Linked DNA regions of Styela clava. The protein of the gene in region 2 interacts with the protein of the main gene of each other region in a pairwise test. Links are inferred from orthologs where the notes say so. Each region holds a gene or a part of one and is shown on either strand. Other genes may lie near its edges.

Region 1 (7,518 bases), on a different chromosome or scaffold from region 2:
ATGAAAACCATAAATGTAATAACAGCCTTTCCTCCTCATTTTGAAATTTTCGAAAACGTCGGTCGAATTTTGCAGGCTAATTGTGTTATCATCGCCGATCGTTTTCTTCCGCATCGCGTTATTATTTGGGGAATTAACATCGGCATTATGCCAGTTTTAATTTGAAAAGAAGTTACATCCCGTGAAAAGTTACCCTTGTTGTAAATTCAGTAAATACGATTATTACGAAATTTTGGCGATTCAACAGCGCCTAAAATAGAGTCTTGTTTTATCTATCACTGGCTCATAAATCAAGAGTCGTGGTATTTTCGTTAGCATTCAATTCCTTATTGTCAGTCAAAAATGTGTGTTTCAGATCTACTCTCTTAACGATAGATAGATACGACGATAGATAACATACTGCGGCCATTTCAGTTCCGGGCGAAATAAAACAATTATCGGCGTTATATACCGACGAAACTGAACCCGACTTTTCTCCCGAAAATGTTGATATATAACTATAAGCTAATTAATATCTGCATTTATTGTACTAAATAAATTATACTCATTGGAATTGCAATAATAGCTCAAATTTGATGAATTTTCAAGATAGCAAAAATAGAAAATTGGATTTGTTCGTGCAGCTTACCATTTGTTTTCATATCTAGAGTAGAAATGCTTTTATTTTAAGGTAAGTCGGGCTCTTCTATACCGCAAATACGCAATAATCACATTTTTCTGCGTGTTTTGTGATGTAATACTATAGTCAAGTTCACTCCAGCATTACACGGATGACTGAAATATGCAGAGTGGTGTGGATATAAGTGAATATTATATGCTCTGAGAGATGTCATTGGCCACTCAACAAAAAATATAAAAATCACTAATGCGCATATGCATTATTTATACTGCTCTATTATCCGGTTAACCGTTACAATAATATCCGGTTATCAGATAGCAAAATACCTCTTGGTTAATCGGTTATCCGGTTAACCGCTATCCGGATAATCCAACCCTAAACCGAATCACCGCATTTGATTCCAAGAATGTTGATGCTGCTGCCATTTATGCATCATATTTCATTACAGACCAATACTCTCAAATATATATTCTATTGCAAGGGTGTGGTTCAGAGTATTTTTTGAGGAGGGGGGGGGGGGGGGCGCCAATAGAGTGCACATGTCAGGTTGGGTATCATAATATATGTGAGATTCTGCATCAAAATTAAAAACTGCAAATATACAAAAAGCAATTTGGTTATCTGATTTGTGCAGCATTATTGTTGAATTTAACTTAGTTTCAACAAGACTTTTCGATTCCACATGCACTTCTAATATATAAGTGGCGTCCAAATAAAATTGACAACTAACTATACAAAGTTATTTGAATCTGTATTGGCTATCTGAAGTATAGGAAATTTCATGACATGGATCAGTGATGTATATTGATATACAGGGTGTCCATAAAATCCCTTTACAATTTCAATTTTGTTATGGAGTTTCATGTTTGTTGTTTTTTAATCAGTAATTGTTTTTTAATCAGTATTTTCACTTCATTTAATACATCTGCGAGGGCCAAAACAATATATGATGTCGATAAATTACCTTTGCAATTTTAATAAATTTCAAGACTTTCTAAATATTTGTAGGTGCTAAAATGAAGAATACATTTTCTCAATCAATGAAATTAGAGAGCACAACATCTCAGAATAAAATAAGCTTTGTAACAGTTTGGAGAAACCATGGTGAATAAACAAAGAATATGCCTGATAAACAGAAATTTGATATCAAAATGAAAAACATTCACACACTGCAAAGATAGAAGAAGTAATTTTTTCCTGCCACGATTTCATGAGCAGCATTATTTTTAAATATACATTGAACCAGATTAAAAAAATGAGACTTTCAGACCCAATTTCTACCAGACAAAGTCCTATTTTATTTTCAATATGTCCCAGTCTTTTCGTACTTTTCATTCTATGGACATATTTTCATTTGAAAATAATAACAGTTAAAATAGGTTTCGAAACATTTATTTTTGAGTAGCATTATTTTTAAATATATATTATTTTTAGATATAAATTGGGCCAAATTAAGGCTTTTGAACCTAATCCAAACCAGGTTGACTCACACAATTTCAATCTTTAGCGAGAAACATGGTTTTCATTTAACATGCATTTTTTGTTGAATATAATATCTATCAGTTATTGAAATAGTATGGCTTTTGGAAACCATATTTTTTGAGAAGCATCATGCTCATATTAAAATTGAGGCTTTCAGCCCTAATTCCAAGCAGACCATGTCCCATTTTATTTATGAAATGGCCTGGAGTTTTCTGTTTTTCATTTTGCATGCATTTTTTTGTTGAAGATAATATAAATCAGTTATTGAAATGGAAGTTTCATTTCCTTCGTTGAGAAACCATTTCACGAAGGTTTTCTTCACTTTCTTTGACAGTTTTTTCTAAATATTTTTTCTTCGCTTCGAGTTCTTTAACTTTCGTGTCTGAATTTTCTTGTGAAGCTTTTAAATTTTGGTCGATTTCGTCTCGTGTTCGAAGCAAAAACATTCGCCCTACGCTTTGAAATAATCTTGTTTCTGATGGCAGACCACTAATTTCGCTTGCAGTAAGCTCAGAACGTTTCTTTTCGCGTCCTAATTGCATGATTTGTGCATCCGCTATTTTCATTTGTGACTGCGTTTCGACCATTTTACGCTGTAGGTCCGCGAAAGCTTGTTTCAGTTCCATATCCATGATTATATACTGGGTAATACGTTAGATACAGACAACTATAAACAAAAAGATGGAAAGTTATATTTCTTTATAAGATGGCACAATCATATGGTGTGTCACCGCCTCTTGTCTACGTCATATGTGGAATTAGGAAAGGATTTACATATTTATCCTGGAGAGGAAAACCAATAATACGACTCAATCATATGGCGAACCTCGGCCTCTCGTCTGGTTACCAGTCCACGTCGGGTATTGGATTAGTTAGCCAGTTATTTGTTTCAGATGCATGGATTTGCTGACGAAGGAAGCCGTAATCGACCGGCAATTACGTGAAGCTTGGGATTATGATTTTTTGCATCACGTTGTACAATGGATACATTTGAATAGCATTGATCATTTAGGTCTAATGAAAGGGTCTCCTGAAGTACGCGCCCTCAAGTACTTGTAGTGGATGTAGCATAATGATTTTATAAATATAATATTCCTAACCCCCACCTGAGTACGTCACCCAAAAATTACATCACTGCGACGTCACAATCGCATAGAGCTTGCTAAAGTATAGCTGTGATTGTTCAAATTGGCGACTATAATGAACACACCTATGTCAGCGATCTTATCTGTGTATCGTTTCGGCGAGAAAAATAGCTTGCTCGATTTCAGATGATTGTCTGCGTGACCATCCGTATACTTTGGAGGGCCGTATTGCGTCACTGTGACTTCGCAGTGATGTAATTTTCGGATGACGTAGTCAATTCTGCAGGTGGGGGTTGGAAATGACATATGAAACAATCGTTGTGCCAGGCCAACTAGAGAGGCGCAGTTCTTACCACTTCATGGCAGCTCCTGCCACGAACGAACCGCGGCAGCTCTTGCCATGGTTTTATAGCGCTATTCTGTATTCAGTAATCAGTATTAACGGTATATTCACAAACTAATGTACCAAATTCTAATTGATCATGCGGAATTATATCTTCTTAAACCCTAACCCTAACCCCAAATGCATCAAGACTGTATCCATAAGAAAAACGTTCCAACTTACCCAATATTTGTCACCATAAGGGACAGCCCTGTCCTTACGGCCCACCTGCCGCGGTTACAGCAGCAAAATTTTACCTGCCATTGGTTTTTAATTTGCTGCCGCGGTAGCGGCAGCTCGACATTGGTTTGTGGCAGCTAAAAAGTCATTCGCCGTAGGTTTGGCTGTAGCGGCCATGGTATGGAAATACCGCCATGGTTTTGCGGCAGCTGCAGACGCCATAGAATACTTAAAACTGCACTTGCAACTAGAAGTACTTGCGGCGTGTACTTCAGGAGACCCTAATAAAACGCAAGTTTTGTATTTATTTTTCAACACACAATTAACTTACCGTATATGCTCGTTTTACCGCCCGATCTTAATCAAGGGCCCGTTTGAATAGACGCCCGTGTGAACAGAACATAAAAATAAATAAGGGCCGGTGCTTGAATACCCGCCCGATGTAAAAGCTGATTTTTCAGTGGTAGAGAACAATACAGCAATAGGAAATAAGAAGCGCTTTTGTCACAACGCTGTCGAATTCTAAGCGCTGGTAGATAACACTCACGCCTTACTTTCAGGCGTCCATTTACATAACAGATAGCATTGATTACTTAACACCGTGGTTCTCAAACTGGGCGTCGCGACGCCCAAGTGCGTCGTTTTAATATTGATAGGGCGTCGCAATTTTACTTTAAAAATAACAAGCGTCTATGATTGAATAAGGGCCCGGTCAGTGTGTTTGGTTAAACAAATATGGGCCCGGGCTACAAAACGAGCAAATACGGTACCGGTACTTATTTTTAATGACGGAGAAAAAATATAATTATACACAGTCTGTGTAAAAACACAAATCCAAAACAAATGAGACACAAATTCAGAATCTTTTTACATAACAATAATAAATAATTAAGACAACTTTCCTCTCCGCGGGGATAAAAATACAAATTCTAACCCATAAATTTCAAACAAAATCACCTGAAACTGAAACATCTGAATACCTCCCCTGGTAACGGTTTGACATAAATAATTTGCAATATGGAGCACACGGGAATATTAAGTGTTCACAATTGAATTAAAAAAATTATTTTGAAAGATAATATTTTATTTAAATTGATGATTGTAAATATGCCTTTTCAATAAATCAGAATATTTATATTCCACAAAAATATTAAATATTATAAATTGAACAATACATACAATTTAAATTCAGAAACGCACGAAACAACAGGAGTTAATCTTTATTGAAGTGAACATAACAATTTTGCGTGAATTTATAATTTTTCTGTAAAGTTCGATGGCCGATTTTAAAACCCCGCGACACCACTGTGAAGCTAGCAGCACTTTCAGCCAGAATATTTTTACACATTGAATATAGGTTCCACGCGAATATAATGTTCACTTATATGTAAATATGAAAAATGAAAATGCTGATCAAAATATAATATTGGCACGAAAATAGATGAAAAATCTTTAAACTAAAATAATACATTAAATTTAATAAGAAAATAGTGTTTAAAAAAAGACTAACTAAGCGAAAAATGAATTTTCAGGCATTCCGCAAATACAAAGTTTCGGAAAATTATCCTTTTTGGAACCTCGATTCCTCGAAAACCGCCAATAAAGGCAGCACCACGACACATTTGGAGAAAAGCAGATACCCTATAAATTCGATTTTTTTATAACAGAACAGTAGCAGCACGTTTTGGCTTGACCATATATATTACCAAACATATCGTGTAATCTAAATTTTAATAACGGCATGGACGTAACAAACTTAAAATTGATTTTGTATTTCAACTAAAATTGCTAGACAATGGATCAAATATAATTTTCTCTTTGTCACACATTAATACTGTACATCTTTTAAACTTGGAATACGTTGCGGGAAGTATAAAACAGCAAAAAAACATTTGCGACTCCTAGTGGATTCTGTCCTGGATTACAAAAAATTATCGTTTTTAAAATGGCGATTTCTCGAAAACCGCCAATAAAGGCAGCACTACGACATATTCGGATAAAAGCACATACATTATAGATTCGATTTTATTATGCCAGAACAGTAGCAGCACGTTTTGACTTGGCCATATATAATACCAAACATAGCGTATATTCCTCGATTTTTAAAACAACGGTACGTAACATATTAAAAAAGGGTTTGTATTTCAACTAAAGTTGCAGAATAATTGATCAAATATCTTTTTCTCTTTGTCGCACATCAATACTGTACGCTAATAAACTTAGAATAAGTTTCAGAAAGTATAAAGTAATAATAAAAAAAATTTCGCGCCCCGCTTGAATTAGTTTGAGAATTTCGAAAATTATCGTTTTTGGATTGGTGATTTCTCAAAAACCGCCAATAAAGGCAGCATCACGATACATTCAGAGAAAAGCACATACCTTATAGATTCAATTTTATTATGTCAGAACGGTAGCATCAGGTTTTAACTTTTTCATATATAATACCAAACATAGCGTATACTCTTCAATTTTATGAACAATGTGGACGAAACAAATTTAAAAAGGAATTGTATGTCAACTAAATTTGCTGAACAATTGATAAAATATATATTTTTCTCTTCGTCACACATTAATACTGTACGTATATTAAACTTAGAATAAGTTTCAGAAAGTATGAAGTAATAATAAAAAAAAATGTTGCGCACCCACTTGAATTAGTTTGAGAATTTCGAAAATTATCGTTTTTGGATTGGTGATTTCTCAAAAACCGCCAATAAAGGCAGCATCACGACACATTCAGAGAAAAGCACATACCTTATGGATTCAATTTTATTATGTCAGAACGGTAGCATCACGTTTTGACTTTGCCATATATAATACCAATCATAGCGTATACTCTTCAATTTTATGAACAATGTGGACGAAACAAATTTAAAAAGGAATTGTATGTCAACTAAATTTGCTGAACAATCGATAAAATATATATTTTTCTCTTCGTCACACATTAATACTGTACGTCTATTAAACTTAGAATGAGTTGCAGAAGAAAAGTATAAAATACCAAAAAAACATTTTACGCCCTCTCGTGGATTCTTTTCAAAATTTCGAAAAATTATTGATTTTGGAAGGGCGATTTCTCGAAAACCGCCAATGAAGGCAGCACTACGACACATTCGGAGAAACGTAGATACCCTATAGATTTGATTTCACTATAACAAAACAGTGACAGCATGTTTTGACTTGGCTATATATAATACCAAAATAGCGTGTATTCTCAATTTTTTAAACAATGTAGACGTAACAAATTTAAGATGGATTTGTATTTCAACTGAAGCTGCTGGAAAATTGATCAAATATATTTTACTCTTTGTCACAAATGAATACTGTACGTTTATTAAACTAAGAATTAATTGGGAAAGTTTAAAATATAAAAAAAAACATTTTACGCTTTCTTTAATGGGTTCTTTTCAGAATTCCGAAAAATAATCGTTTTTGAAAGGGCGATTTCTCGAAAACCGCCAATAAAGGCAGCACTACGACACATTCGGAAAAAAGCAAATACCTTTTAGATTCGACTTCACTATACCATAACAGTAGCAGCACGTTTTGACTTGGCCATTTATAATACCAAACATAGCGTATATCTCAATTATTTGAATAGCGTAGATGTTCACATATTTTAAAAAGGTTTGGTATTTCAAATAAACTCACCTAATATCGTAATATTCCGTTTTCTTACTTTTCCAAACACCGATACTGTGTGTTAATTAAACTTGGAATAAGATGCAAATTGTATAAAACAATGAAAAATGTCTTACAACCTATATATA
Region 2 (7,482 bases):
GAGAAAATTGCTAATATGATGATAATATATATTGTTTAAGTTTGGAACGAAATTCTGAGTTCGATTTTGAATTTTTGATGTCATCGGGTAGGGAATTCCAAGCTTTTGGTCCACATACTGCGATTGATTCTTGTGAAATACTTTTACTGACAAATGGAATAAAAAAATTATCTTTATTTCTGCTGTTTGAATTTGGGTTTGCTTGGAACAGGCTGTTCAGGCTGGTCGGAAGCTCTCCAATGTGACAAGAGAACATCATATTACATAGTTCGAATTTAGCTAAATCCACAACTCGTAGTAGCCTATGCTCTTTAAATAAGTCATCAATTTTTTCGCGATTACCTCTATGAAAAACTCTTCTAATAAAGCGATTGCAAACACTTTGAATTTTTTTGAGAATGGACGATTGGCGATGAACATAAGCTGAGGCACAATAACGAATATGGCTTTCTATCAGAGAGTGGTATAGAGATATTAAACAAGATGTATTTAAGTAGTTGGCTATTTTCGTAATGGCACTAAGAGACGACCTTGTTTTCGATAGAACCATATTGGTGTGTTGTTTCCAAGACAATTTATCATCGATCATTACACCCAGAAAGCGAGTCTGATTAACTCTTTCTATATTTATTCCATTTAATTCCAAATTTTGTTGCAGAGTTGGACACTTTTGCTTCGGGGTGCTAAATATCATATATTTAGTTTTATCGACATTAATAGTGAGTTTGTTCGCAGACAACCAAGCTTGAATATTTTCTAAGTCGGTATTTGCCTTGGTCAAAAGTTCAGGCAAGTTTTTGCCTCGAAGATATGGCGTTGAGTCATCAGCAAAAAGCAAAAAGTATGTGCATTGGAGCGTATCAGGAAATACAATCTTTCGCCTGTAGTCTCATGGAGTGACGTCAGAGTCGCCTATCATGTTGTTTCATGTCATTGGTCCGAGTAACAGAGAAAAAATCATTCTGCGATTTTGTTGATAGTGAGTATCAACGGCTATTACAGCATGGCAACACTCGGTTTTCCCTTTATTACCTGCTTTGCAAAGGATTACGGAACTGTTTGAAAGCTTGATAAGTTATTCAAATTCTCAAGAAGGATGTCCTACTCTTATGCTTAAATGTTCCAGCGTACGAACTTCACTTGAAATTCATCCTTTGCCAGCTCACCTACTTCAACAAAATTATTTTAATTTTGAAAAAAGATAATACTAATGCCGTAGATCAGGGGTCGGCAACTTACGGTTCCAGGGCCGGATTCGGCCCGCAGAATATTATAATCCGGCTCGTGACGCTTCACTAAATTATAGTAACAAAACAGCCGTTTTGACGATTATATTTTTTAAACTAAATTATATTATAACCTAACAAGTATATAATTCACAACTACTCGTTTAATGAGCCTATAATTTAATTATAATTAGACAAATGGCAACAAAACGCAGAAAAATGATGCGAAGTTCAAAGGGTTCAATGGCGCTGAAAATATTCAAATGCAATTTTTTGCGATGCAATGAGGATGTATTACTGCTTGATTTTTATTATAAAAAGTATCATCCATTCGGTTCCAGCTTTCTAAAAATATGTACGGCCCGACAATGACTCGCAACCCTTAATTTTGTCCCGCGAGCGACAAAAGGTTGCCGACCCCTGCCGTAGATGTCAGAGGTGAAGCTAAATTTGAAGGAAAAAGGGTGAAGTCTTTTAATTCCGTCGCAATAACTTGTACTTCTGGAATCCTTGGAACGCTCTGGCGAAATCGACGTAACTGTATTTAAAAAGAATGTTTGCGGTATACAAAGCAGCATGATGAAGCCTACAATGCTCCCCGGGCCCCACATATGGACAAATTCGAAGGGTGATTTAAACTGGACTAAAGTGTTTGGTTTGCAAAATGGATAAATGATATGTTCGGTTAGCTAGTCAGGTTTTGAATAGAGATGCACTTTTCGACGAATACTGATAAAGAGATATTTATCTGAGCATGGTTCAAATGCAATTTGGCTCACTTTGCGGTTGAATTTAAGTGGACAGAGATGTTTAACGTTTTTTCTAACAGAAATATTAGCATTTCGAATTTGCAGAAACTCATTGATTTTGTTTGCCGGAACATCGGCATCTGTTGAACAGATTTTCTTCATTGTTAAAATTTTCTGGCCTGGAAGCAGGTTCAGAATGCCAGAAGAAAATATAAAAGCACTCGTAACCTGCAAATTTAATGGTGATGTCTCTTGTTATCAGTTTTATGACAAAATCAAAACAAGAATTTTTGAGAAGGGTTCCATCTGCGAACAAATACTTTTGGTCTAAATAAATAATACAAACTATTTTTTTGTGTTTTTTCTAATTCAATATTACAAAGACTGGCAATCAACCGAATGTTTGCCAAATCGCACCGTCCCGGTTTTTTGTTTCAGATTTATGGTAAGCCTAGCTATACTATCCATCAATACAATTTCAGCAAAAGACTTTAATGGTAATATATACAGCCATTGCTCTTACAATTATGCACTCAATGGGCTTATTTTGTTGGTAACGTTTTTTATATAGTACAAGAGAGCTATGCTCAAATATATGGACACGTAGCATAGTGGCAAATTGTGATGGCGTCATAGCACGCAAAAAAACGATAAATGAAAGTGATAGCCTTCCAGCGAAAAATATAATTTTTAGACACTGAAAATTTCGATTTCAGCCTGCTTCATGCTACGTCAACTTAAGTGTATTTAGAGAAAGTGGATGGGCATTACCAGTCTGGATATTGCCTATTGTTTTGAACACATTTCATAGTTCAATTGTAAAATTTTAATAAATTAAACAAAAATAAATACTTGTAGCAAACTAACATGTATGGTATTTTGTGGTTAAATTTACTACTTTTTTGAGAGTTACCGTTTGTAATTCATTGTAGTTGTAATTCAAAATAAAAGGAAAAAATCAGGCAGGCTGCATGTGAAATTTAAGAAGCTTACTAAAGTTTGGCACGTTTACAATATTCGTATAATTGGAACACAAATTAATGTTTAAAACCAATGACTATGGCCTTTGATTTAAATAAATTATAAGCTATATATTAGAGACTATGTTGGGTTAATTATCATTACATAAGCGTGCTACCGTGTTTTCCCGATAATAATACCTACCCTGAAAATAAGATCTAGCCTGAATTTTAAAAATGATTTTAATATGAGCCCTCCCGTTAAAAGACCTAGTCAACAACGCAAATTTATTTTTACCCAGTCGATAGCAAGAAATCCCTCCTACACGTTTTAAATGATTGATAGTCTATGTTTTACAGTTATTTTGACTGAAAACGTGTTATTCAAAAGTAAATAGATATTAGTTTTCATATTTTGTACATTTAAAAATCTCGTAGTTCTATACTTTGTAATTTTGTTTTTGATAAATGAAAATATAAGACATCCCCCGAAAATAAGCCCTAGTGGTATTTTTTTGGAAGAAACTTGAAATAAGACCCAGTCCTATTTTCGGGGAAACACGGTACGTAATATCAACTTAGATTTTAGACAGAGTGTTCTTTTCATATTCCACGGGAAAGGAAAGCACATATGTTTTGTTGATCATATGATTTCGGACTGAAGACGTGCGCTTACTGGCTTTTCCAAAGTGCAAATTTGATAAACCAATTTAGTTTTATTATTGCACACTGTTCATTAGATCAACGTGTGCCGCAGTCGATCACGCCATGTATGCATAGAAATTGGGAACAGTAACCGCAAAATGATAATGGAATCGGATGCGTTGTTTACTGTCTTTTTCAATCTGCTGTCAATACAAAAATAAACATTTCGTTTGTTTTATTAGTATATTTTTGCTTTTGTTCACGTTTGTTTTTGGTTGACGAATCAATAAATCTCTCTTTGTCTATGTGCTTGTAGGAATTCAATACATTCCGAGCATCTATCTTCTTTTGCAATTTAAACTCGCCACTACATTTAATGCCTCAACAAGTGAGAGGAGACAACAAGAGTTTAATTATTTTTGTTACACCATCCTTTACTGCAATACATCAAATACGTCTACTTCTACATTGCCATGCATAAGCTTTACACTTTATACAAATTTTCGGACCTCCAGAAGTATGTGCATCAAGATGACGTACAACCTGAACATAGTGTGTGTAACAGGTTAGGGTTCAGGTTGTGCGCCATCTTGGTGCACATACTTCGGGAGCGCCCAAATTTTATATGAACTACAGTGTCTGCGGTAGCGTGAATATTGATTTTGCATGCGTTGGTATTACGATTCGTGTAAAGAAGTTGACCAAGAGGATTTTTAAAACTTCCAAATTTATTTTATATTCATTGAATTCCAGGTATTTCATCGGTCAACTTATGTTTGTCGTAGGTTATTATTATTTATTTACGGTTAAACCGTAGTAGTATATATTTACGGTTAAACATCGAAAAGATTTGATTCATGCCCATTAATTCTGTCATCGTTCCACCGTATTAGCAAAGCCATTATATAATGGCTCTGGTATACGGTAAGTCTTCATTTACGGTTCCACGAAATGCGAAATTTGAGCAGCGACACTCGCAGCGGTCACACATGCGACTTCACTCCGCGAGGTTTGTTGGTTTTGTTTCTTACAAGCAGACAAGTGTCAGACGCCGATGGACTTCGAATCTCAGTGAGCGGCGTGTATTTATTTGTAAATCGTCATGTTGCGGATTAGAAATCGGTTGGGATGGCCTCGGAGGACTTATCAAAATATTACCGGGAGAAGGAAGTTATCAACTACCGCATCTAACTCTAGCAGCCCCGTTGTTATTGCGGGCGCAACAGTTTTATCTGGTGGTTTAGTTGCAGTTGGTGCTGCTTGGCAGTTTCCGTCGTTCAGAGAAAGTGCTGAATTGAATTTTCCACCTGCAAAATACTTATTTAATCCCATTTTGGGGCCGCTGAATAAATCGATAGAAGCTGTCCCGAAAATTAAACAGTCCAACAGAAAAGTAGGTGATGTCTTTGAATCAAGTTTGAAAGAGGCAAGAAAAATTAAAGAAAAGACTGAAGCGAAGTTGGAAGATGAAAAAGTGACTGCTTCTCATGATGAGAGACAGGAAATTTTATCTAAACAACCAATTGAAGATGAAAGTTCTGCAACCGGTGGTATTTTGTCAGAGTCTGAAGTGAATATTCCCCAAGCAGTATCTGAACCAGTTCCAGAAATGCCGACTTTAACGAATGATGAGGTACAACCAATAAAAGAGCTAGTGACGGACGTTGAAACTGAACAGATTGGTGAAAAAGAAATACAGAATGCACCACAGTTGTTGCCTGTTACAACACCAAGTGATTCTTTACCAGATAAAGATGGGAATCATTTAGAACGTACACCTGAAGAAGTCTCACATAATATCATAAAACTGGAGGAAGATGTTATTGCAGATACTGCTGCAATATTGACAATACTGGATGACGCTTTGTCATCTTGTGCACAACGTTGCTTGGAGGCTATCGATAGTAACCTAGAAGCATCTAAAGCGATTGCTTTACATACATCTCTTCTTAAAAGTGCTATGGATGAAAAGGAAACCAGTTCTGAGGAAAAGAAAAACCAGTGGACGGATGTTTCAAGAGTTCTTGAGCAAAAATCGAGACTCCAGCAGGAGGCAGAAAACCTAAGCCAAGATGCTCGACAGGAATTATCAAAATTGGGTGCGATTATATCTGAAATTAAACGGTTCAATAATTCAGATGCAAATCAAAAAATAATTAGTGCTGAAGAAAACTGTAATGCTATGCGCAAGGAATTAGAAAATGCTTGTAGAGAAGTCAATATTAAGCTTTCAGAGTCACATGTTATTTCACAATACAAAGATTTGATCGAAACAGCAAAAGAACAATTTCGTCAGGAGCTTATGTCTGTCATGCCTGATGTTAACGTTGAGTCTGGGTGGCGAAAATTGAGCCAGAAGCTTTCTCAAGACGATCTTAATGCCCTGATTGCCCATGCGCATCGTAGAGTTGATCAATTGCAAAGAGAACTTGCAGAGGAGCGTGCAATATCAGTGAGCAGAATGGAGATGGCTGTACGAGCAGCAAGGGAAAAGTGGGACGAGCAGACTGTTATAGAAACTGAAAGAAAAATGGAATTGCTAAAGCAGGAAAGTGAAGTCGAATATGAAAAAAAACTTGAAGAAGCAAGACAAACTTTTGAACGAGAAATGAGAGTGCAACTGAAACGGCAAGCTGCAGCGCATTCTGAACATCTTGCTGACATGCTTGGAATACAGGAAAAGCAAGTCAGGAAAGAACTGGATATGGAAATGAAACAAAAACTGGAAGAACAGGAGGAAAATTTCTTAGCACAAATGGAAAAGGTAAAAGAAAAGTATGAAGATGAATTGCATGAAATAACGGATAAGTTTCAGTTTGATTTGAACAAAGCACTTTCAAAAGTAGCGGGTATTGAAACTGCAATTGACGGTCGAGCACACATTGAGAATGAGTCTCGGAAGGCACAAGAGTTATGGCTTGCTTGCGAAGCTCTTCGAATTGCTGTGCAATATGGTGATGACGGTAAACCAGTTCCTCTGGAAAAGGAATTACAGGCTATTTCACAAGTTGATGGTATAGAGTCGCAGATATTAGAAGTAATCAAAGCATTTCCCGAGCGTGCTAGCGACTCTGGTGTTTACCCTGAAGAAGCGATACGTCTTGCTTTCAAGCAAGTATCAAAAATGTGTAGACGTCTGTCTCTGATCAACGAAACAAGAAATTCATTTTTTTCATATTTTCTTTCATATTTAAAGTCACTTTTAATCGTAAATCGTGCCCAAGCAGAGCCTCCACAGAATTTGGATCCCAAAGAGTTAGATACTTTTAAAATTTTGTCCTATGCGGCGTATTGTTTGGATCGTGGTGATTTGGAGCAAGCTGCAAGGTTTATGAACCAACTTAAAGGTGAATCAAGAAGAATTGCTGAGGGATGGCTTAAAGAAGCTAGATTATTGCTTGAAACCAAACAAACCTTGCAAGTTTTATCAAGCCTTGCATCTGCGTCAAGTATCGCCGCAAATCTAGAAGTATGAGAATGCTCGAAATTTATAGCAGCATCTTTTTTCATCAAACTCAGATTTACAAATGTTTATATCTGCATGTTTTGAAATTTATGTTGTCAACTGTAATATTTTGGTGAAATGCTATTTGATTTTTTTATTTGTCAGTGAGGTTTATCACATCTTTCTCCAGACCAGGCTCTGTGCAAGCAGCCATTGATATGTAATGAGCCATGGAACAGTTAGAATTTCCTTTTCAAAATAGCCCAGAAAATTTGGAAGCGTTTTGTGAAGTAAGTGGTGGGCAGAAAGATCTCAAACCTGTGACACCAACATAGTGAATAATAAATCTTATGTGTTAGCCACTAGGATCAGGGTGCATGCTTTAATAAGTTGAAAGTATTGCTTTCTTTTTTGATTATTTAAATGTCAATCTGATAAAAATATGTTAAATCTGGTGC

Evidence for each region.
Region 1: the proteins of MICOS complex subunit Mic60-like (region 2) and prefoldin subunit 1-like interact in a two-hybrid assay, tested with the Homo sapiens proteins (2 studies listed by BioGRID and IntAct). The link is inferred for Styela clava from reciprocal best matches to the Homo sapiens genes IMMT and PFDN1.

What each region holds. Positions count from the first base shown.
Region 1 is NC_135255.1:20,572,638-20,580,155, reverse strand, and holds prefoldin subunit 1-like, read right to left. Parts: upstream 2,773-7,518; 5' UTR 2,734-2,772; coding exon 2,380-2,733; 3' UTR 506-2,379; downstream 1-505. UniProt on the Homo sapiens protein: Binds specifically to cytosolic chaperonin (c-CPN) and transfers target proteins to it. Binds to nascent polypeptide chain and promotes folding in an environment in which there are many competing pathways for nonnative proteins.
Region 2 is NC_135250.1:12,331,171-12,338,652, reverse strand, and holds MICOS complex subunit Mic60-like, read left to right. Parts: upstream 1-4,479; 5' UTR 4,480-4,681; coding exon 4,682-7,054; 3' UTR 7,055-7,479; downstream 7,480-7,482. UniProt on the Homo sapiens protein: Component of the MICOS complex, a large protein complex of the mitochondrial inner membrane that plays crucial roles in the maintenance of crista junctions, inner membrane architecture, and formation of contact sites to the outer membrane.